3 linked regions of the Mus musculus genome follow. The protein of the gene in region 3 purifies or fractionates together with the protein of the main gene of each other region. This does not show direct contact. Links are inferred from orthologs where the notes say so. Each region holds a gene or a part of one and is shown on either strand. Other genes may lie near its edges.

What was found.
Region 1: the proteins of Lin37 (region 3) and Rbl2 purify together in Homo sapiens (affinity purification with western blotting; 5 studies listed by BioGRID and IntAct, with this or other methods). This does not show direct contact. The link is inferred for Mus musculus from reciprocal best matches to the Homo sapiens genes LIN37 and RBL2.
Region 2: the proteins of Lin37 (region 3) and Tfdp1 purify together in Homo sapiens (co-immunoprecipitation; 3 studies listed by BioGRID and IntAct, with this or other methods). This does not show direct contact. The link is inferred for Mus musculus from reciprocal best matches to the Homo sapiens genes LIN37 and TFDP1.

Annotation. Positions count from the first base shown.
Region 1 is NC_000074.6:91,101,057-91,104,556, forward strand, and holds part of Rbl2 (retinoblastoma-like protein 2), read left to right. Parts: intron 1-291; coding exon 292-456; intron 457-1,141; coding exon 1,142-1,253; intron 1,254-3,500. UniProt on the Homo sapiens protein: Key regulator of entry into cell division. Directly involved in heterochromatin formation by maintaining overall chromatin structure and, in particular, that of constitutive heterochromatin by stabilizing histone methylation.
Region 2 is NC_000074.6:13,366,251-13,369,750, reverse strand, and holds part of Tfdp1 (transcription factor Dp-1), read right to left. Parts: intron 293-3,500; coding exon 171-292; intron 1-170. UniProt on the Homo sapiens protein: Can stimulate E2F-dependent transcription.
Region 3 is NC_000073.6:30,556,847-30,560,921, reverse strand, and holds the start of Lin37 (protein lin-37 homolog), read left to right. Parts: upstream 1-1,275; 5' UTR 1,276-1,446; coding exon 1,447-1,480; intron 1,481-2,837; exon of another isoform or gene 2,838-2,963; coding exon 2,964-3,039; coding exon of another isoform or gene 3,040-3,072; intron 3,073-3,245; coding exon 3,246-3,296; intron 3,297-3,627; coding exon 3,628-3,657; intron 3,658-3,736; coding exon 3,737-3,822; intron 3,823-3,897; coding exon 3,898-4,064; intron 4,065-4,075.

The DNA of each region.
Region 1 (3,500 bases), on a different chromosome or scaffold from region 3:
ACATACTGTATTTCTGAACTATACATCCACCTCTTATATAAAAACTTAAGAGTACTGTTTTCAGGCTCAATGTATAAGGAATATTTTGTACAAAATATTTTGTTATTCATATGTGTAGATTACTTACAAAACTATAAAAGGATAAGCAGCGTGCTACACATGGCTTTATTAAACTTCTGATAAATTATGTCAATATTTAAAAAATATTTAGATGTTTCATTTTGCTTTTATACTTTTGCATGCACAAGCGTAGATATCACGACTCAATAAGTGGCGTTTTCTTTATTGCAGGTAATTGAAGTATTTATTAGAGCAGAAGACGGTCTTTGCAGAGAAGTGGTCAAACACCTCAATCAGATTGAAGAACAAATTTTAGACCATTTGGCATGGAAAACCAAGTCCCCACTGTGGGACAGAATTAGAGATAATGAAAACAGAGTCCCTACTTGTGAAGAGGTTTGTGACAATATTTTAGCATCTTTCTGTAAGGGAAGCGCATCAATATTGTTTATAGCCCTCTTCTACAGAGAGTAGTTGGAGCTGGGGTCTGCCCTTTGGGGTGTAGGGCTTTGCAGTGTGGTAAGTGGTTTATTCCTGTATCAAAGAGAAGCCTGTAACTACCTCAAGGTCTCCATGACGGTAAAGATTGAGGCTGCTGTTCTGACCATCTGAATCATAAGGTACACTGGCTCGGACATAGTCTTCATATTGGTTTTGAATCTTTTAAGACTGAGAATTTTTGCTTTAGTAATTTTATTAAGAAATAATTAATTGGACAAAAATTGTTGCCTTTTGGTTTAAGATTATTACTGTCTCTTTCTTTTTCTTTTTATTCTTTTCCCTTCACTTCCCTTTCCTTCCCTTTTCCCACCCCTCCCCTTTTCCCTCCCCTCCCCTTTTCCCTCCCCTCCCCTTTTCCCTCCCCTCCCCTTCCCTTTTCTTTCCTCTCCGAGACAGGGTTTCTCTGGGTAACCCTGACTATCCTAAAACTCGCTCTGTAGACCAGGCTTGCCCTTGAACTCACAGAGACCCGCTTGCCTCTGCCTTCCAAGTGCTGGGATTACAGGTGTGCACTGCCTTACTGCCTTTCTAGTGAAATGCTTTTTGATTGTTAAGATTTTGTGCAAACGATTCTTTATAGGTCATGCCACCTCAAAACCTAGAGAGAACAGATGAAATTTACATCGCTGGCTCTCCCTTAACCCCGAGAAGGGTGGGTGAAGTTCGTGCTGATGCTGGAGGACTTGGAAGAAGTAAGTTTAAAATACAAAGACGAATATTTTGGAGTCTTGAATCTATATACTTAAATTCCATCTAAACTGTAAGTAAAATTAATAGGCTATGCAGAGCAAAGAGTATTCTGTGTCCTTTAGTGACATAGTGATCACTTAAAAAAATTTTTTTTTGTTTTTTTGTATGCAGGAGGGTTGGGACAGGATCTTGTGTAGCCCAGGCTGTGGCCTTGAATTTGCTATGTTACCAGTGGACTTCTGAGAGTCCATTTCCCAGTGCTGGATTCGAGGTGTATACCACCACACCTGACTTAAAAATGCTTTTAAGGAATGGTAAAAACATTAAAAATTATTCTGAGAGGTTTGGCTATATGGCCCAGGCTCCTCTTGAATTCTACATTGTCTTGCTCCCCACCCCCAACAAGGATTGCGGGAGTGCCAAGCTTATCTTTTTAGAACACTTTTCATTAACTTGACCTTTATTTGTAAGTGACTATCCATTTATAAACATACAAAAGGGCAGAAATGGGAAAAGCAAACTGCTAACTATACTTCCATTGCTGGCCATAGGATTCTCAGTGAATTCTCTCATTCTCTGAAGTGTGTCTTCCTTTTTATGGTTCTATTTTGTTATGTTTATTGGAGAAAGGAGTCTCACTGTGTTGCCCAGGCTAATCCATCCCTGGTCCTCCTGACTAATCTCTTGCATAGCTGGGAATCAGGTGTGGAGCGCCACAGCTGGATGTTGTTAAGGGTGGAGCTCTGAGACCCAGGTAGATAGAGATAAGCCAGTGAGGCTGGATGGCTCCAAGAGTGGAACATGTTCATCACTGGAGCTGTGCTGAGCTACTTAGTAATGTGACTTTGCTGCTGGCCCAAGGAACACAGAAAACCCGGCTTATGTTTTATAGCTCCTTAGATGACTGCCTAGGTGCGAAGTTCATATTCATGTGTGGGGTCTGTCTTCCTTGAGATTCTTTTCGTCCCCCCCCCCCCCGTTGTTGGAGATTGACACCAGGGCCTCCCAAATGTAAAGTACACATCTTTTAAACTATTTTCAAAGAATAGTTTATATACACATACATGCATACACACATACACACACACACATATATACACACACATACATATATACAATATATACATAAAATACATATAAACACATACACACACACACACACAGACACATATCTCCAAATCTATTAGAACATTGCTAACACTAGGTCCGTTTCATAATGTACTTGAAAGGCCTTAGCTATAAATGGATCAGTTTTAAAATCAGTTTACTCTAAGTCAGTGTCTACTCAGTAAATATGGATACAGGCCGTGGTGGCAGACTTCTGTAATCCCAACACTTGAAGGCTAAGGTAGGAGGATCTTAACTTTAAGGCCAGTCTGATTTTGCTTCATGAGACCCTATCTCAAAACAATAACAGAAAACCAAACTAACTCACCAGTTAAATGCTTTTTGAAATCTTCCTCATTTAAAAATTGATTTTAGATTTATGTGTATGATTGTTTAACCTGCATGTATATGTGTGTACCCTGTGTGTGCCTGGTGCCTGCAGAGGTCAGAAGGTGCTGGACCCTCTGTAAGGTGTTGGACCCTCTGTAAGGTGCTGAACCCCCTGTAAGGTGTTGGACCCTCTGTAAGGTATTGGACCCCCTGTAAGGTGTTGAACCCCCTGTAAGGTATTGGACCCTCTGTAAGGTGTTAGACCCTCTGTAAGGTGCTGGACCCCCTGTAAGGTGTTGGACCCTCTGTAAGGTATTGGACCCTCTGTAAGGTGTTGGACCCCCTGTAAGGTGTTGGACCCCCTGTAAGGTGTTGGACCCTCTGTAAGGTATTGGACCCCCTGTAAGGTGTTGGACCCCCTGTAAGTATTGGACCCTCTGTAAGGTGTTGGACCCTCTGTAAGGTGTTGGACTCTCTGTAAGGTGTTGGACCCCCTGGAAGGTGTTGAACCCCCTGTAAGGTGTTGGACCCTCTGTAAGGTGTTGGACCCTCTGTAAGGTGTTGGACCCCCTGTAAGGTGTTGGACCCCCTGTAAGGTGTTGGACCCCCTGTAAGGTGTTGGACCCTCTGTAAGGTATTGGACCCCCTGTAAGGTGTTGGACCCCCTGTAAGTATTGGACCCTCTGTAAGGTGTTGGACCCTCTGTAAGGTGTTGGACTCTCTGTAAGGTGTTGGACCCCCTGGAAGGTGTTGAACCCCCTGTAAGGTGTTGGACCCTCTGTAAGGTGTTGGACCCTCTGTAAGGTGTTGGA
Region 2 (3,500 bases), on a different chromosome or scaffold from region 3:
AAGCGTTTGTGTCGTATTAGTGACCGGTGTTCTCTGTGGCCCAGTCAGAGGTGAGATGGGAGCCCTGCGCTCTCTCTGCTCAGGGACCCCCACTACAGACCATGTGACACATGGCCAGAGGACAAAGGGGACATTCTCAGCAGCTGCCAAACTGGGGTGGGGGTGCTCACCCAGCAGACCAAGGTGAGGAGTCAGACGTCTGGTTCTGTGACACAAAATGCGTGTTGGGAGTGTGTGGGCTTCCTACCACAATAGTGTTGGATGCTGCCGGTCTCTGAGGCGTGCCAATCACCTACAGTCAAAAGAGAATTCAGAACAATCAGACGTGTCTCCATCACAGTACCACCGCTTCCTTCTGCCTTGTCAGCCACAGTGAGAGAGCAACAGAGAAGCACGCTGCTCTGCTGTGGCACTACCCCACACAGCTCAGACACCCGTACATCTAAAAGAACATCAACGTCTCAAACAGGTAGGCAGGCTCAAGAAGACAGAGCAGGCCACAGTTAGGGGCTGGAAAGGACAAGGCAGGCCTCCCACAGCAAGAACACCGATAGTGACAAGGAGGCAACTTACTGATAGCTAGGATTAATCACAGGACAGTAACACATTGCTGGTTTATTTCCTCTTAATGAGCTAGGCAAGGATAAAACTGCCCCTATAAAGTATAAAAGTTACCAGAAGGGAAGGAAGAAAGAGAGAGAGAGAGAGAGAGAGAGAGAGAGAGAGGATGGAAGGAAGGAAGGACGGACAAAAGAAAGAAAGAAGACAGACAGACAGACTTCCAGAACTGTAACCCTAGGACAGACAACAGGTACCTCTTCCAGCTCCCAAGTGGGAGTGGTGCCTGACTGTCCTGCCGGGGACACCTTTTTCTACTGTCTATGAGGGACCTCAGGATCCAAACATCATCAGGACAAGAAAGGGACAGGCAACCCCATTGGGAGCACACAGCCAGCAGCTCACCTGACCAGAGGTGGTGGCTCTTGGGAATCAGGTAACCAGTTTTACCAGAGTTGATGTGGCGACCACTCTTATAGCAATGTTTTTGATGTCCTTTGGGAAGAGGTCTGCTGTTTTAGTTCCCTCAGTTAACACACAAACCTGTTATTCTGGAGACAGACAACTGTCCTATTCTGACAACCAATGTCTCAATGTCAAAAATCTTACTACACACATAACTCTAAGTCAAAAAGACCTCTGGTAAATCCCAAAGTACAGAGCACTTCAGTGATCAAATTCTTCTGGGGATATCCCCACAGGAACTGAATTGAGATACCTGGATCCAGTGAAGGTGTGGGTACACTTTGGGAGCACTAGGCCACACAAGACGGGAAGTGCATCTTGGCTTACTCTCTCAGGCGGGAACAGGGGATCCCTCCCCATCCCCAGACAGTAAGAGCTTTACGTCCCCCACCAGTACTGCCTGCCAGTCACGTTGACACATCCCACACCAGCATGAAGGCTGCGCAAAAGTTCTGGAGCTCACGGGAGACCTCAGTCTATTCCGCAGCACCAAAACAACCACCCCTGAGAAGATGCACAGCTGTGCTAGACTCAAGACTGGCCTGGGAGCACCTGCCAGCAGCCTGCGGCTGTGCGTGTGCAGGAGGGCACTGTGCCTGGCTTACCCACTGGCCGCACGGACGCTGCCAAATGACTGAATCTGAAGAAAGCTAACTTACTCCCAGATTCAACTCTTCCATACAGCACTTCTTGATATGCTGTGCCAAGGAGGGTCAGGTGGCCCCCTGACAGGCAGCCTCATTACTCACTGAGATCTACATCCATCAGGACACACAGAGACCCTGTGCACATCTGAGGGACAGTGCAGAGTGAGCTCCCCAACCCTCAGGTACACACATCTTCTCTGTGGATCTGACAATAGAAGGAAAACTATGCATATAGGAGCTATCTACCTTTGGCATCAAATGTCCCAGTCGCCGTCGCCATACATTTAGGCCCCACCTTCATGCACAGCATGATTGGCAAATGCTCAGCCCTGTGTACCCATGGCTGCCTATGCATGCTCCACCCTCCGTGTGCACACACAGATGGGAAAATGAAAAACAGACCAAGGAAATATCAGCAAGTGAGATGGGGAGAAGAGGAAAAGGCACATCCAGGAGGCCAGGTGCCCAGGCCTCAAGGAGACAGAGGAAAACCAGGTTGTAAAGTAGCAGCTCCATGCTGGCACGGCCAGATCCAAAGGCTGCAGACAAAGCCCTGGGGAGCACAGCCATGCTGGCCGGAAGTGGGTCCCATTCCATCTGCACCCTGACACTGGGAAAAGGGCCACATTCCCCTTGGTGTGCTCACATTCCACCATCACACATGTGAATACAGCATGCAGAAGCCCCCAGGGACACTGGCCTTTCAGATACCAAAGAGCTACTTCGGTTAGGGTTCTCTGGTTGCTACTCCTCAGGACAAGAGGAAGCCTGGTCACAAGCAGTCTTTCCTATGTCACTACTGCTGGGACTGAGACTGGTTCAAACCCAGTCTTCCAGACCCAAAGTTCCAGCAAGCCACATGACTGCTAACTGGCACATACTGAGGACTGACATCACTTAGAGCCCCCTTCTAGCTTTCAAGCCAATATGGGAGTCCTGTTGATGCGTCTTTGCCTTGCTATAGAACACACAGTCTCCCACACTCTAGACAAGCCTTCGGCCAACAAGCCACACCCAGTACCCAGACCACAAGGTCTTCCAAAACACTCTCCCCTCAAAACACCCTAAGGATTCATTTTGCACCTTAATTTCAGATAAAAGCTGTTCAGTATTATACACTGCGTGATTCTACTAGTTACATACAAAATAAAAAATTTAAACACAAAAGCAAACTACAAATTTAGAAAGGTTCAGGGAAGGTTAGGTAGGCTTTACCATGAAGCTACAGGCAGGGCCCAGAGTGCAAACCAGCAAGGCAGGCACCTCTGTGTTAACAGAGCCATCTCTGTGTCAAAGCTTCCAATACCTAGACACTCTTAATAGCCTCTGGTGAGCAAGTGCCAGGGACACAGCACCTGCCCCCATCACACTTCGCATGCACATAAGGTTTAACTATCACCTCCTATGTTAGAGCCAACCCAGCCATCTCCTCAAACAGTTTAGGGGTCACTTGGAACATGCCCGGCTGAGGATACAGCCTAGGAGTATGCCACATACCCTTAATCCTGGCACTCAGGAGGAGAAAGGAGGAAACGAATCTCCAGGAAGTCAAGACCAGCCTGTTCTACACAAAATGGTTTTCCAGCCAGCCAGTGGCACAGGACACCTCACCTCACAAATACCACCGCCATGAGGGACCTGACAGCCAGCTCCGTGGCTAAGAGCACTTGCTATGCTTGCCGAGGACCCAGGTTTACTTTTCAGTGCCCACGTGGCGACTCACAAGCACCTACAACTCCAGTTCCAGGAGAGATGATGCTGGCATACATGCAGTCCACATAGACAATGCAGCACAACACTCAAACATAGAAAGAAAACCCCCAATGCCCA
Region 3 (4,075 bases):
TGCGCTCAACAAGTGAGCAAGCCCTTTCTCTGGCATCTTGATCTTCTCATTTAAAATTTCATGGCCAGTCAGTGGTGGTGCACGTCTTTTATCCCAGCACTTGGGAGGCAGAGGCAGGCAGATTTCTGAGTTCGAGGCCAGCCTGGTCTACAAAGTGAGTTCCAGGACAGCCAGGGCTACACAGAGAAACCCTGTCTCAAAAATAAATAAATAAATATTTCATGATTTTGGTGGCTTATGTCTGAAACCACAGCACTTGGGAAGCAGAGGCATGGTGGATTTCTGTGACTTCCAGGCCAGCTGGGGTTTGTAGTGATACCCTGTGTCAACATAATTTCAGCAAAGAGTCTAGTGAGATAACTCAATGGTAGGGACACTTGCTGCCAGTCATGACCTGCGTTTGATCCTCAAATCCTGTAAGTGATCTGACTGCTACAGGTGTGCCCCACCCCCCAATAAGTTAAGAAAAGCATATACCCAACAGGTTGTTGTGTTAATCACACACTGGGGAGGCTGAGGCAGGAGGCCTTCCGGGAGTTCAGAGACAGCTTGGGTCACATACATAATGAGCTTCAGGCTAGACTGAGCCAGAGTGAGGCAATAAATAAATAATGATAAAGTCTCAGTCCCCACTTTGATGTTCCCTATTGAGTATTTTTACATATTTGTGTGTTCCCATTACATTTCACTTAGAATTTTTGGCTTGTTTATTGACTATCGTCTATCCTCTACACGATAAGACACATTCTCAGCAAGGATTTTTGCCTGTTTTGCTCGTTAAAGCGTCCTCACTATGTGGATGAGTACCCAGCGCTTTTAGTATTTAAATGAAAGAGAGTTAGCTGAGAAATACACCTAGCGAGCTCTCTGTCAGAAAGGATCCAGTCCGTCTCCAGAATGATCTTCCTGTGAAGGATGTCAGTGACTATGATAGTTACTTAGGAGCTGGAAATAGGTTTAGTGGCAATACTAAAATATAACACTACAAATCCCGAAAAGCCTTGGGATGTCTGAGTCTTTGCTTCCCATAGTGCTCCTTGCGGCGCAGGCGCATTACCTCCGTCTTGAGCCTCGGAAGTTTGAATCACAACCCCCACCTCCGCCCCCCAGGTGCCTGGCTTGTCGTTGGTTTGTTTCCGGATACAGGGCCTCGGGAAGGTGGAGCCTAAGGCTGGGAGCCAATAGTACAGGCTGTCAATTGGCCAGCAAATGAAATTGACGTTTTCATCAACTAGTGGGAAAAAGCAGTTGCCAAAGGGTCCCGCCTACAGAAGGGGAAGAAGGGAAGTGGCCGCCAAGGCAGTCGCGGCTGGACAGTGCTCAGGCCCGAGGACCAGTGGTGCCCAGACTTACCTTTGACCTTTCCCTGCCCGCCTTCCGCCTAGCTTTTGAACCACACCTCCTCCAAGTTTTTCTGATCCAGCGCATTAGACCTGCACCCAAATCATGTTCCCGGTAAAGGTGAAAGTGGAGAAATCAGGTGAGGACTGGGGATCCAGGAGAGATATGTTAATAGTGAAAAAGCGGAGTACGCGACATCTCTCTGCAGCCCATATGACAGGATCCTCTAAAAAGGGTCCTTTTCTTTTTCTACCTCACTTTCCCCATTTCTGACAGTGGGCATGAGTCATCAATTGTGGAGTGTCCCTGAATCAATCCTCACTGGCTGTGCATTCCAATAACGCTAGGGTGTAGGGTGATAAATAGACAAGGTGGGAGGAGTGGCAGGGTGTAGGAAGGAAGCGGGCAGCAGAGCAGCTAGGGCGACTGCAGCCGTGAGGAAACGGAGGCAGAGAGATGGGAGGGGAGGAGGACAGATCTGTGGGTTCTGGGAAGGGACTTTCGACTTTTCCTTTGAGGGAAGTGGGTAGTCTAGGGAGGTTTTTGAAGAAGGAGTGAGTTGGTAAAGGTACACCCCAAAGTGCAAAAAAACAAACAAACAACAACAACAAAGCTTGAGTGGACATCCTCAGAGATGCAGTGAGTGGAGAGAGGGCTGTTCGTGTTGGCAGCTGCCTTTATTCCCAGGGCATGGAGAACAGAGACAAACGGATCTCTGAAGTCAAGGCCAGTTTGACCTACTTAGCAAACAACATGCCAACCCAAGGCTATATAGTGAAGAACTGGGGGTGGGAGGAGAGAAATATATATAGTGGAGGGAGCCTCACTACAACTATGCAGGTAGGACAAGGGTGGGTTTGGAAACGCCAGACTGAGTACAGACCCCATTTTCTGGAGTCAGGATTGAAGACTCCTTGAGGGTTCTGTGCTGGAGAAGATCAAAGCCACGTTGTGTTGTCTGTCTGTCTTTGTATTTTTTCTTTCTTTTGCTTATTGTTTGAGAGAGGATCTTTCATTGCTGAGGCTGACCTTGAAACTCTTGATCCTCCTACCTCAGCCTCCAGAGTGCTGGGATAGCAGACATATGCTATTATGCCCAGTAGGCTTGGCTTTCTTTTAGGAAGGTTCTTTTGTCTGCATTATAAAAGGAGGTGGATCAGAAAAGATGACAGAGGCTAGGCGCTGGGTGGGAGGAAAAGGCGAGGTAGGGAGGGGATATATTGACAGACTCCCACAAGCCAAGTGAGCTGAGACTGGGGCTGGGAAAGGAGTGCCCACAGCGAGTCAGGAGCCTGTGGGCCAGCTAGTCACGCCTCATGGGAGAATCCAGGGAGTGGAGTGGGTTTCGAGGAGACCTCAGTGGGAATACCCTAAGGGCTGTCCATGGAAGGTGTCCAGATCCTAGATTCCTGAGTAGGTGTTGGAGAGAAAGAGCAGTGGTAGCAGCTGTGCCCTTGGCCCCGCCTAAGGCTCTGTCACCCTGGTTCTGTCTTTAGTTGGTCTCTCCACTGAGTGGCACTAAAGCTGCTTTCCAAGTAACTGGACCAGACAGGACGTAGGATCGCCTCCCACGGCGAATGTGGGAGGCGCACACAGAGCTGATTCCTACCTTCTACCCTCAGAGATGGAGATGGCCAAAGCCCGGAACCAGCTGGATGCCGTTCTTCAGTGTCTGCTGGAGAAGAGTCACATGGACAGGTTGGAACCTGGTCCAGCCTGGGGAACCACAGGGTGGGAGCTGTTTGGACTGACTCTGATTGTTGGAGGGGGGATGTGGATGGGAGGCTGGAGGGGCTGCCTAGGGTGAAAAGTGCCCCATGGGATGTTTCATGGGAAGACTAATTAATAGCATCACACTCTGGGTCCTTGGTACCCTAAGCCAGTAGTGTTTTTTTTGTTCCCAGGGAACGCCTGGATGAAGAAGCTGGGAAAACCCCCTTGGATACGCACAACAAGTAAGGGACTTTGATGGGATTTAGACCTGAGAGTTTGGGTTAGGTAGCTTTTCTCTCTGCTGAGTCCTAACCATCTTGCATAGACAAAGATACCTGTTGTATAAGTGGCTAACACCTTAGAGGAGGGTATTGGTGGGATACAAGGCCCAAGGAGTACCAATAATCCCCAGGATGTTAATTTTTGTTTGTTTTTAGAGCTAGCGATAGAACCCCAGGGCTTTTGCCCATGCTAGGCAAATGCTCTGTTCCTGAACTACGTCACTTCCACCTTGGGGGGCAGCGTTGAGCAGCTGTTTATTAAAGCCTCCTGACACCATGTCTCTCCCTGCAGGGATTGTTCCATTGCTGCCACAGGCAAAAGGTAAGGTGGCTGGGACCCCAGCTCACTAAAAGGTTCCCAGTCCCCAGCTCCGGGCCTGACACTCACCTTAACCACACAGGCCATCTGCCCGCTTCCCCCACCAGCGGAGGAAGAAGAGGAGGGAGATGGACGATGGGCTCGCTGAGGGGGGTCCTCAGAGATCCAGTGAGTAGGCAGGGGACTGAGAGGGTGGGTGTGGAGCCAGGAACTACACACTTATCGCCTACCTTACCACCCCAGATACGTATGTGATCAAGCTATTTGACCGGAGTGTGGACTTGGCCCAGTTCAGTGAGAACACACCACTGTACCCCATCTGCCGCGCCTGGATGCGCAACAGCCCCACAGTGCGAGAGCGCGAGCGCTCACCCGGCTCACCGCTGCCTCCTCTGCCCGAGGATGGAGAGGTAGGATGAGT